Linked DNA regions of Oryctolagus cuniculus. The protein of the gene in region 3 interacts with the protein of the main gene of each other region in a pairwise test. Links are inferred from orthologs where the notes say so. Each region holds a gene or a part of one and is shown on either strand. Other genes may lie near its edges.

Region 1 (3,573 bases), about 44 Mb from region 3:
AGCCCTCGTGCGGCCAGAAGGCCAGAGCACTGGAACAAGTGCAGCAGAGCCAGCGTCCCACGTCCGGGGTGCTGCCTGTCCTGTCCCAACACATCTACAGAGGAAGGGGAGAACCCCAGCGAGTGCCAACGCTACTTCCCAAAGTGGGGAGCCAGCACACAGCCCTGACCCAAAACGCTGGTATGTATAATGCTGCACATGGCTGACGGCTCCAGGGCAACTGCTTTTGGTTTGAAAGAGGCAGCGATGTGAAAAGGCCTGACCGAAGAATCATGAAGATAAACAGATCAGCAAAGATGAAAAGCAATCTCCTCCCAAACTGTATTTTAAAGAGTGGACTCGCCGCTGCACTTTACAAATAGACAACGACCAGAACGGCAGCCTGTCCCCGCTTGCACAGAAGCCCGCCATCGCAGCGGACGCACCTTTCCTCCCAAAGTGTGTGGTGTGTTTTCTGCAATCAAGGTCACACAACCCTTGGTATCGCGCGGTGTATCATGACCACGCGAATGCTGACTGGGTCCCGGGAAGAGTCTCTTCCACCAGGCATTGTGACGCCTGTATTGTATGCTAACAGGTGGACACACTGTGAGTCCCTCTGGCTACTCCCACTGCTCACACGGTCTGTGTCCAGTTTGTCATTAGAGAAATAAACTGTGACTTATCTGTGTATAAAAAAAGCCCTCGAAGATATCTTATTTCTATATGACATAGTCATAAAAGTTGGGGTTTCTGTGTCAAACAGAAAGTACCACTAAAAGAAAAAAACAGACGCAGTGCTATCCATGCAGTGTGCCAGAGGGAAGAAATCAATGCTGTTAATTGCTAATGCACACTTCCAACTAAAAAAGAAAGAAACTTGCAAAATGCTAAATATCCAATTCCATTATTTCCTCAAAACCAATATGTGGAAAAAACATTTAAAAAAATGACTACAGTGTGAACAAAAGGTGTTTTGAACCACAGATATCACAATCTCACACTGACTGGCTCCTAAAATCCACCAGGCACATGGAAGGGGGCCCTTAGTTGCCTTTTGTGATCAGTAACATAGTTCATAAAGTCAAGATGGAAGAAGGCTTAGATAAATTTCCAAAATGCAACATCAAGTGGCTTAGAGGAAAAACGGTGCTGACAACTAAACCACCAGGATACGAGATGCACCAGGACACATTTCAACCGTTTTCTGTTCACAGAAGCCTCCGAAGTCTCCACCAGGAAAAATCGCTATCCTTACCCAAGAGTCACTATCATTTCAACACACAAAAATTCCTCTACTAGGACTGGAAGGGACCCCACGCGGGCCTGGAGGCGGGAGGCACGGTGGCCCAGTCAGCGCCCCCGACGGTCGGCTGTGTGCCCGTGCCCGGCGGCCTCACCTTGAGGGTCTGCCTTTTTGTAAGCGTTTCCGGCGTCCACAAAGCTGGTGGCAGAGTCATGCTTGCTCTGCAGCTGCATGTGCAGCTTGGCCGCCTGACAGAACGCGTTTCCTGCAGCTGAACAAGAGAAGACCACAATCAATCAATCAATCAATCAATCAATCAGAAGAAGCAACGACCACAATGATTCATACGTAATTAATGAATTCCTGCAGAGCGGCCCCCACCTGAGGTGCTGGACCTCACTAAAAAGCAGCATTCCCACCTGAGAACCTTGGTCAAGTGCACCCAGGTGCACACAACAGCAGCCTGACCTTCCCGTCCCAGCCCTGGGCACGCAGCCTCCCGAACAGCCAGGCTCTGGGCTGTTCAATTCTACTCGGCAAACACGTAAAGGACACACCCTCGGGCCTTCCAGCTGCAAAGTGACTAAGCAAAGGCAACACACCCAGAGCGAGGGTGCTGGCGGCTCCTTTTCTATCTTGCCACGTCCACTGTGCTTAGCTGTCATTGCTGAAGTTGCTAAGACAGGCTCTAAGGAGAGAGTTTCTTAAAGACTGAAAATGAGGCCTACAATTTTGAATCTTAAAATAAAAAAGCCTAAAAATTCAGTTTTTCCTCTAGTGTATAGCAAAACCTGATAGAAACTTATGCACAGGTATGGCCTGCTCTGTACCAGGCAGGGTTAGAAGTTGTGCTCTTCCTGGAGCACCCTGACAGGTGTGGCTATAAATAATACCCAGATCCCTGCTGGGACACAGCCTGTGACAAATGTACAGAGTCTGTTCAGAGCAAACTCTGCCTCAGGGGCACAGATTCTGTGGCCGAAGAGGGAGGGAAGGGACCCCTGAGAGAGGCATCATGGGAACATGGTGACAGGCCTGTCCTGCCTGCAGGAGGCCAGTGGGACAACAGCTGAAGCTGCACCCGGCCTTTCAGGGAGGGCCTCCCCACCTCCGGCAGCAAGTCCCCTGCGGTAGGGACGCCTGAAGTGCCTCCAGCTCAGGAAGGTCTGGAACAGGCAACCCCCAACGGGAAAGGACAGACTCTGCACCCAATCCCACCAAAGCTCCACCTGTGACCCCTGTCCCAAGCCCTCCCCAGAGGCAGCCACTGACTCCCCCGTAGGCTTCTCAACCTTCACGCAAGGGTGAGCACACTCTGTGGCTACCTGACCTGCACTCAGTTCCTGCTCCAATGAAGAGTGCCCAGGCAGCTGTGGAAACACGTGAGTGCAGCGTGACATGGGCACTGCTGCAATCTGGACGAGGGCATCAGGAGGGGCCCTCTGGGAGGAGGACCGTGCCCTTACGCAAGCGGCTGCTGCGCGGCCCTGCTCCTGCACTGCAGCCCTTCCAGACACGGCATCTGCTGGCGCCTGGATCTTGGACCGCCCAGACCCCAGACTGTGAGCAGCAAGTTTTCACCGTTTACTCAATACTCAGCCTAAGGTATTTTGTTATGGCAATTAACAAGAGACTAAGGTTGGCACTGGCTAGTCAGAGTGGACACTGGCTATGGGGCTGGAGCTGGAGACCATGGCTGGCCTGTAAAGAGGCAGGTGGTCCCAAGGAGTGGCAGAGACTCTGCCAGGGTAATGGGCAGGCAACAGGGGTACCTGGGGCAGCAGCCAACCACCAAGTGGCAGTTTAGGAACACACCAGCTGGCTGAACAGCTGATAGGCTGAGGCCAGCTCTGATGGGCTCTGCCTCTGCCTCTCTGTAGCTCTGCCTTTCAAATAAATAAATAAATCTTTCAAAAATAAAACACTATTATTTATTTGTTTTGCTTAATGGTGATAAAGGTATCAGAGAAAAAGGAAAGAGAAGATTGCTCTTTTTTTTTCTTAAAGATTAATTTATTTATTTGAGAGGCAGAATTATAGATAGAGAGAAGGAGACAAAGACAGAGGTGTCGCTCCCCCTCTTCGTGGAGGAACGACACAGGACCCTGCACTGTTCTTTTGTCTGTTCGGCCTTTCCCAGGTTTGCTGCTGGTTCTTCCCGGGTTGGCTACCGTCCCTTCCACCTCCGTGGAAGGGCGGTTCCCCCTGCCACCTTCCCCACTTCCGCGGGGGAGCGGCACACCGCCGGCCGGCTCTCTCGGGGGCTGCACAGGTGTTCCTTCAGATAGATGTTCCTGGTGCATGTTGTCTCTCTCCTCTTTTATAGTCCTCTTCCACCAATCCCAACT
Region 2 (4,205 bases), on a different chromosome or scaffold from region 3:
AGCTTCCTCCAGATCATCCTATGTGGGTGCAGGGGCCCAAGCACTTGGGCCATCTTCTGCTTTCCCAGGCCATAGCAGAGAGCTGGATCAGAAGAAGGGCAGCCGGGACTAGAATTGGCACCCATATGGGATGCCGGCGCCGCAGGCGGAGGATTAACCTACTGTGCCACGGAGCCAGGCCTCAGTTTGACATCTTGAGCAGTAATAGCAGCCACCGTTCATTCAGCACGTGCCCTGAGCTAGGCACTGCGCTGCTGGCTGTTCATTTGTTCCATCTCCATCTGATGTATCCCTCACACCAGTCCACTGAAGACAGCATTACTATCCCAGCTTTACAGGAAACTTTGGGACAGAGATGTTAAATCACCAGTCACGGTCAGAGGGAACAGAAGCTCTGGGAGTTGAACCAACATAGATTCCGGGGATCAGCATCTCAACCCCTGTGGTAAATTAGGTGCAGGTAAAGGGAGGTTCAGTGCTTTAGCTGGCCGGCTGAAGACCACCACACCTTTCAATGCTTGTGTGCATATGAGGGAGGCCTGCGGCTCCAAACACAAAGTCTTTGGAGAGAGGCCCATTTATAAGATTAACTCAAGTAATTACTCATTCACCTCTGTCTTTCCCGTACTGCTTTGCTCCTCCCTGATCCCCTGTGCCTGTCATCACAGCTGGCACAAAGGAAATGCCCATGAAATTATTGCTGAATGAATGAGTCACAGAAGAGAAAAGTAGAAAAAGAAGAAGGATCGGGTAGGAAAAGGTGAGGGGGAAAAGGAAGTGAAAGAGTTTCGGAAAAAGAAAGGGACAGGAGTGAAAGAAGGGATGGGAGTATGAGGCTGGGAGACAGCAGGCTGGGGGAGACAGATCAACACAGTCAGCCCTCCGCATGTTCTCCATCTGTGGGTCTGACTACCACAGACCGGAAATATTTTGTAAAAATGGCATCTGGGCGCCGCTACTATGACGTAGCAGGTTAAGCAGCCATCTATAGTGCCAGCATCCCATATGATTACCGGTTGGAGTCTTGACTGCTCCACTTCTGATCCAGCTCCTTGCTAATAGCCTGGGAAAGCAGCAGGAGGTGGCCCAAGTCCTTGGGCCCCTGCACCCATGTGGGAGACCCAGAGGAAGCTCCTGGCTCCTGGCCATTGCAGCCATTTAGGAAGTGAATTAGCAAATGGAAGATTCTCTCTCTCTCTCTCTAACTCTGCCTTTCAAATAAATAAAATAAATAAATCTTTAAAAAAATTACATCTATAGAAACATGTACAGATTTTTTGACTTGTCATATTATTCCCTAAACAATAGTATAAAGCATTGTATTAGGTATCCTGAGTAATCTAGAGATGACTTAAGTCTACAGGGGAATGTGCACAGATTCTATACAAACACCAGGTCATTTTGTAAAAGCGACTGGCGCCTCTGCAGACTCTGGTGTCCATGAGTGTCCTGGAACCAATCCCCGGCGTATATCAACGGGCGACTGTGTATCTTCTTCAGACTCTAATGCTCTATTTGTTCAGGTCCTGAAGCTTTTCAGTTTCCCCCAACAAATTATCCTGGCCTCAGCCTTCATTTCAGGAGTTTCCTCTTCAGCTGGGAAGCTAGGGGTCACTTAAAAGCCCACCCCTAGCCCTGCCAGGTCCCTCATCCTGCACGCTCAGAAGTGGACTCTGGGCTCTATTCTCAGGGCCCCGCTCAGTTTCCTGGCATGGCCTCTGAGTTCAGTGCTACCTTCCTGCTCCACTTCCTCTTCCTGCCTGGTTTCCCTGGGGACCAGGCCATGCATCAGGACCCCTAGCCAGGCCACATCCATCACTCCTCTGCCAACTTCTCCAAGGCAGAACCTTAAAGCACCAAGCCTGCTTCCTGCCTGGCTCACCTTCCCACAGACCTCGGGGCAGGGGAATAGTGGGGAGGGGAGTGTGCTGGCACCAGCTGTCCCTAACATCTCAGCTTTGGCAAGACTGGACAAAGCCAGAGACTGTAGCCAGAGCGGGGGTGACTCAACCCAGGAATATGTCACTAGGTAGAGGTTAGGAAGGGATCGGGCCATACTCTGATAACTTCAATGAACTTTTACATAAACACTTTTCTTCCCCGAGGGAGGGGGAGTGTCTGTCCTCCTCCACCCTGCCACGGGACTGGAACCACTAGCCATCCGCTCAGGTTTCCAGCTCCAGGGCCAGGCTTGGCTCCTACCGCCTCGGGGAAGGGCTGAAGAGGTCATCGCATTACCTACCACTCCTTAGCAGTGAGTTGAGTGCCAGGCGGGTCTCGGCCATTGCACCCAACAAGGCAGCTATTGGTGACCCCACTTCTCGGATGCGGAAAAGGAGACTCGGGGAGGTTAAGTGACTTGCCAGGGGTCACAGAACCGGGATCCCAACTCGGAGTCCTACTCCAAAGCGGCGCTCCCAGCTACTTGGCTCCAGAAGAAAGGCAAGCTCGAGCCCCGCTCACCGCTCACCACGCGCTGCGCGGGGCAGCCCCACGGGGCGCACGCCCCCCTCTCCCTCCCGGGCTGCGAGCGCGGCCGGGGGAGTCTGGCCCGGGTCCTGCTCGCAGCCGCCAGTCACCTCGTCGGGTCCGAGCCCACGCCCCTGGTCTCGGACCTGTGATGCGTGGTCTGACCCCTGCGCTGGCCCTGGGTCCCTTGCCCGCCCGCCCCGCCGGGGGCTCACCATCGCCGCCGCTGCCGCCGCCTCGCCCGCGCCCGGCTGCTCTGCCCGTGGAGCGGCAGCGGTGCCAGCGGCCTGGGAGGAAGCGGGACGGGGCGGGGCCGGCCGGCGGGGGCGGGGGGCGCGCCTTCCGCGAGCCGAGAGAGGCGACGGGGACCAAGACAAACCGAAAGCGGCCAGCGACAGCGACCCAGGTCAGTGGGGGCGCCTCCTGCCGGGCCGCCGGCGCCCGACTTGCAATGACACCCCAACCTGGTCAGCTACTGTGCTTCCGGGCGCCAGCCTGCAGGTTGAATGCAGTTCAGAGCCCAGTGGGTGAGATGGGCATATGGAGCCGGTCCTGGAACCCTCTTTAGTGCTGCATCTGACACCCTGTAGGTGAGCTAGGGAAGTGTCATCCGTTCATTCAACAAGCATCTGTAGAGTGTCCTTGTCAGGCGCTGGCGGCCCTGAGCAAGCCAGGTAGGGTCTCAGTGGTTGCATCTCACCCCAAACCAAAGCTGACACATAAAAGTTTTGGAACTAGAGAAGTGATGCTTGCACAATATTCTTCCTTTTTAAATTATTGTTTTTTTTTAAAGATTTATTTATTTATTTGAAAGTCAGAGTTACAGAAGAGAGGCAGAGAGAGAGAGAAAGACATCTTCCATCTGCTGGTTCACTCCCTAAATGGCCACAACAGCTGGGGCTGTGCCAGGCCGAAGCCAGGAGCCAGGTGCTTCTTCCAGGTCTCCCACATGGGTGCAGGGGCCCAAGGACTTGGGCCATCTTCCACTGTGTTTACCAGGCGCATAAGCAGGGAGCTGGATTGCAAGTGGAGCAGCCGGGACTCAAACCAGCCCATGTGGGATGCTGGCGCTGCAAACATCGGCTTTACCCTCTACAACACAACACTGGATCCTTAGATTATTAATTGACTATTTGAAAGCCAGAGCAATAGAAAGAGATCTCTGATCAGCTGGTTCACTCCCTACATGGCCACAATGGCTGGGGCTGAGCCAAGCCAAAGTCAGGAACCCGGAACTAGATCTAGGTCCCCCATGTGAGTGGCAAGGACCCAGCTACTTGAGCCCTTATCCCCCTCCCCATGTTGCCCAGGGTCTGCATTAATAGGAAGCTGGAATTGGAAGCACAGCCAGGACTCAGAGCCAGGTACCCTGACAACGGGATGCAGGCATCCCAAATAACATTTTTTTTTTAAAGATTCATTTATTTATTTGAAAGGCAGAGTTAACAGAGGTGGGGGTGGGGAAGGGTCTTCCATCTGCTGGTTTACTCCTCAAATGGCTGCAACAGAAGGAGCTGGGCCTATCAGGAACCAGGAGCTTCTAGGTCTCCCACGCAGGGGCAGGGACCCAAGTACTTAGCCAAGCAGCGTTTTAACCACTGCACGACATTCTGAATACAATACCTGTCTCTGAATTGTACGTGTTGAAATGTTATACTCTAAGTCCTGTGAATCTCACCTCAACTTAAGAAGAAAGCAGACCCTCAGGGGGAAGCCGCTCACGTTCCTGTGTCCCC
Region 3 (4,211 bases):
CGGGCTCCTCAAAGTGGGGCCAAGTGACCGCTGGGTCCCTCGGGCCGGGGCTGCCTGCACTTCCGCTGGCTGTCCTTGAATGTGTTTACTTCTGACACACTGGCCGGAGCGACACACTAACCCTCATCACTAAAGCCAATTTCAAGTTTTTTCCTCAAACAAGAAAAAGAAACGGGCCTTCATTTTTTGAATGGCAATGGCTGTAGGGCTGTTTTGTGCCGAGATGTTTGATGGACACACACGCCACTTTTCAGCCAATTCTTGCAGTGTTTTCCTCAAATAAGGATGTGAAATTTCAGAAATTTTCCAATTATTTTAGGTGTGATTTCTTTTTAGCTATGTCTAGCAAATACACGAAAATCAACTTTCTACAGCTTTTTCTTCTAATTGGAAATTTAAAATTTCAAGTTATGAGTTTTAAAATTAATTTAAATTCTCAAGTTTAGTTACTGCCTTGTTAATTACCTAAGTTAGCATGGATGTTTACAAATTGTGCTGTTTTACTTTACTGTGACAAAATATAAATTTTTATAATTTTCCAAACACACAGAAAAAGTACGTAAAATGATATAATGTCCTAGCGATAGTTGTCACTAGGCTTAAGAATTACTAGTATCTTGCTTCATTTGCTTCTTTCATTGGAGGGGGGCTAAGTACTTAAATAGGAAACAGATTTCTTGATACTACACCACCAAGCCCTTCAGTGCCATCGCTAGGAAGACCCACACGTGTAATCAACTGCGGTTGGTCTGACTGCTGCATTACCACCTAACGGCCGCTCTACATTCACACTCGAGGTGTGACTTCTGTGTGACCTGCCGCAGGATGAACCTCGGGAGTGCGGCGGGGCCTTCTGGGAGCCACTCAGCCAACGTTCCACAGCCGCGACGCGTGCACCTGCCGGCTCCGGGAGAGCGGAGCGGCCAGGCCCTGCCCTCTGCCCCAGTGCTCCGGCCTCTCGCGGTGATTTGGTGATTTTTCATCTTCCTGCAGCGGGTGCACAGGCAGAAGGGCTTCTGCAGGAAGCCGCCCGCAGGCTCCCCGGGCGCTCTGGGGTCTGGGGATGCGGTGCCTCGGCGCGCACCATTAAAATATTAAAACACGTAAATGCGCCCGCTAACTTAACTTCTAAAAACCAGGCACACTGACGCTGCGGGCGGCAGACAGTCTTTTGAAACCGGGTTATTCTCGGCGATCCGACGGCTCTGATCATCTAGGAAGGCTTGCAACACACTGAGGGGCACGGGGCGCGCCCCCAGCGGCGGGGCGGCCCACCCTCCAAGTCTTCAGGAACCCACGCGAGCTCGGGCCGTGCTCCCGATGCAGCGTTCCCGGCCGTGCACGCGGCTGCGCGGAGTCCGACCCGCTCTACTGGGTTGTGCAGACACGCAGTTTAAATATGCGCCCACGCAATCCCTTCCAACAAGCATCTGACTCGCGGCGCGGCCCGGGCGCACCGTCTACACCGCGCCTCGGCTCTGAACCCGCGGGCTCCGGGGCCTCGCCGAAGCCCACGGCGCGCGTTCCTCACGCGGCCTCCACGCCTCGGCCCGGGCTCGCGCGGGAGGTGCGGACGCAGCGCCGCGGCGGGCCTCCTTCCGACGTGCGGGGAGACACGCGAGGCCTCCGGCCGCGCACCGCGAGCCCTGGGGAGGGGGCGACCCGCACAAAGCCCGGCGGCGCCGAGGAACCGCGGGCCTTGAGGGCAGGGCCGTCTCCTCGCAGCCGCACGCCCACGCCCACGGCCTTCCCGAGGGGGAGCCCCGTCCGCGCCCCTCCCCACGCCCCGCGGGCCTCCCGCAGGCCCGGCCGTCGGGCGGGGGCGGGGCCCGGCCGTCGGCGGGGGCGGGGCCCGGCGAAGGCGACGCCCCCTGGCCGGGCCGGGGCCGCTCGCGACTGGTCGGCGCGGCTGACAGACAGAGAGACAGACAGAGACAGACAGGCGGGCGGGCGGGGCGCGGGGGCGCGCGGCGCGCGTGCCCGGGAGACTCACCGCAGCAATGCTACGTGAATGCAGAGGGCTGGAGGTGGTGTGACTACTCACTTGCTCGGCTAACAGCTGCCGGTTTTGGATGGAATTATTCCGCAACAACAAGAAAGCGTCGGTTAAACGCCTGGTGGCCATGGCTCACCCTGTGTGACCCCGCTCAGGGCCCCCCGCCCGCCTCCAGGCCCGGCCCAGCCGGCCCGCCCTCGCGCCAGCGGCCTCCCTGGGCCAGGCCGCAGGCCTCCAGCCGACGAGGCGCGAAGACCCCTCCCCAGATAACCGCCTAGGCTTGCCAATTGTCTGACTCCCCCTACCCAAGACCTGGCTTCGATCTCCAAGCACTTGAATCCCCCCAATCCTCGCCTGGCCAGCCGCCGTCCCTGAGACCCCCACCCCAATCCAACCCTGGATCTACAAGCGCATAACTCGCCAATCCGGCTCGGGACTGGCAGCACCTGAAGCCCCCTGCCTCCCTCGACTCCCTGAGACCCCGAGACCCCCAACGGCCTTTGACCCCCGGGCTGCCCCTGGCCGCGCGCTCCGGCGTCTAGGCCGCGCCCCGGGGCCGGGCCCTGCCTCGCTGCCCCCGCCAGAGGCCCGGCCTCGGCCCTCCTTGGCCAACCCCAGCCCTCGGCTACACAGCGCCTGCAGCTCCCTTCTCGGCCTGCGCTGAGCCTGCTGCGGCTCGGCGACCTCCTGACCCCTCTCCTTCCTGCGCGGCCTGCTCCCCCGCCGCGAGGAGGCCGCTGGCCTCCAGGAGGACAGCAGGGCCACCCTCCCCGGCCTCCTCACTCCTCTCCTCCAGCTCCCTCCATCCCCGGATCTGACTGCGAGCTCAGCCCCGGGCCGCTTCCGTGCCGTGGTCCCGGGCTCTGGCGTCCCCCCTGGCCCTCTTCCTGTCCGTCCCTCGCGAGTGCCCCCCTGCGACGCTCGCAAGCCTTGCTCGCAACGTTCCGGGCGCGGGAGCTCCCTGCCCACACCCGGGCGCGGGCGCGGGCGCGGGCGCGGGCGCGCTCCGCCCTCTCCCGGGGCATGGCCGGGGCACCCCGTTTTCCCGGCCCCCGCGGGGCTCAGGCACTGGGAGCGGGCCCGGGGGGCAGCGCTCAGCCCGGGGCGCGTGGCCCCCGAGCTGCAGGCCGCTGCCCAGGGCCGTGGCCCCGCAATGGCGAGTGCCAAGTTCCTGGGCAGGCGAACTTGGGCACCAGCAGAGCACAGCCGCGCGGCGCGGCGCGGGCGCGGGGGCGGGGGCGGCGGGAGGCGCCGGCCTCTGCAGGCCGAGCACGCTCGCTGCGGGCGGCGGCTCGCGCTCGCGCTGTTCTGTTGTGGAGGGCTTTTTTTTTTCAACTCTGAAAAAAAAAAAAAAAAAAAAAGATGTATCTGAAAAACAACCAGGAGAGGGGGGGAAAAAAAAAGGAAAAAATTGTGAAGCGGGAGCTCCGGGCGTCCAGGTCGCCCGGGCGGCGCCGCCAGCGGCAGGCGGGGGTCGCGGGGGTCGCCCGCGCTCCCCAGCCGCCGCTCTCCGCAGGGGCCACTGCGGGGCTGTGGACTCCCCAGGGGGAGAGTCACCCGAAAACTCTGTCACCCACCGCCCCGAACACCGCCGTGTGCGCTGAGCGGGCCCCGGCCCCGCGCCCCGCGCCCCGCGCCCTCGGCCCGGGGTCCCGCGTTCTGGGGCCCGCGGGGCTCCCGGGGCTGCGGGCTGGCGTCGCCAGGGGGGTCCACACCCGAGCCTCGCCGCGCCGGGTGCCCTCGTGCCCCGCGTGGACCGCGCCTGGCGCACACGTGTCCGTTCCCTGGGCTCACGCAGGGGGCGCCCCGGACCCCACCCACGTGCGTTTCCTCGGCAGGGGAAAGCGCCCCGCAGGCTCTCGAAGCAGAGCGAAAAGGGTTTCTGACTGCACAATGCGGGAACGAGGGAGCTGAGCGCGCCGGCGAGCCGGGCAGGGCGAGCTCCGAGCGCGGGAGCCGGCCACGTGCGCCCTGGCAGGACGCCGCCACCCGAGCAGCCGCGGCTGCGGGGCTGGGGGTTGCCGGGCACGGGGACAGCGTCCCCGGAGGCAGAGCAGGCAATTCGGGGAGCCCCGGGCGTGGCGCAAGCGCTGCGAGAAGTATGTGTGGTTCCCCAGGCCGAGGCGCAGCGGTCAGCCGGTGAGCTGGGGCTGGGGCCCACCTCCCCCGTCCAGGGGGCCCCGGCCTCCTGGCCTCAGCCTGGCCCAGCCTGGGC

Evidence for each region.
Region 1: the proteins of STX16 (region 3) and NAPB interact in binary tests that used the Homo sapiens proteins (3 or more experiments, as listed by UniProt). The two-hybrid records come from large-scale screens. The link is inferred for Oryctolagus cuniculus from reciprocal best matches to the Homo sapiens genes STX16 and NAPB.
Region 2: the proteins of STX16 (region 3) and VAMP5 interact in binary tests that used the Homo sapiens proteins (3 or more experiments, as listed by UniProt). The two-hybrid records come from large-scale screens. The link is inferred for Oryctolagus cuniculus from reciprocal best matches to the Homo sapiens genes STX16 and VAMP5.

What each region holds. Positions count from the first base shown.
Region 1 is NC_091442.1:47,609,020-47,612,592, forward strand, and holds part of NAPB (beta-soluble NSF attachment protein), read right to left. Parts: intron 1,497-3,573; coding exon 1,380-1,496; intron 1-1,379. UniProt on the Homo sapiens protein: Required for vesicular transport between the endoplasmic reticulum and the Golgi apparatus.
Region 2 is NC_091433.1:117,064,217-117,068,421, forward strand, and holds the start of VAMP5 (vesicle-associated membrane protein 5), read right to left. Parts: upstream 2,813-4,205; 5' UTR 2,688-2,812; coding exon 2,685-2,687; intron 1-2,684. UniProt on the Homo sapiens protein: May participate in trafficking events that are associated with myogenesis, such as myoblast fusion and/or GLUT4 trafficking.
Region 3 is NC_091442.1:3,594,785-3,598,995, forward strand, and holds the start of STX16 (syntaxin-16), read right to left. Parts: upstream 2,841-4,211; 5' UTR 2,126-2,840; coding exon 1,994-2,125; intron 1-1,993. UniProt on the Homo sapiens protein: SNARE involved in vesicular transport from the late endosomes to the trans-Golgi network.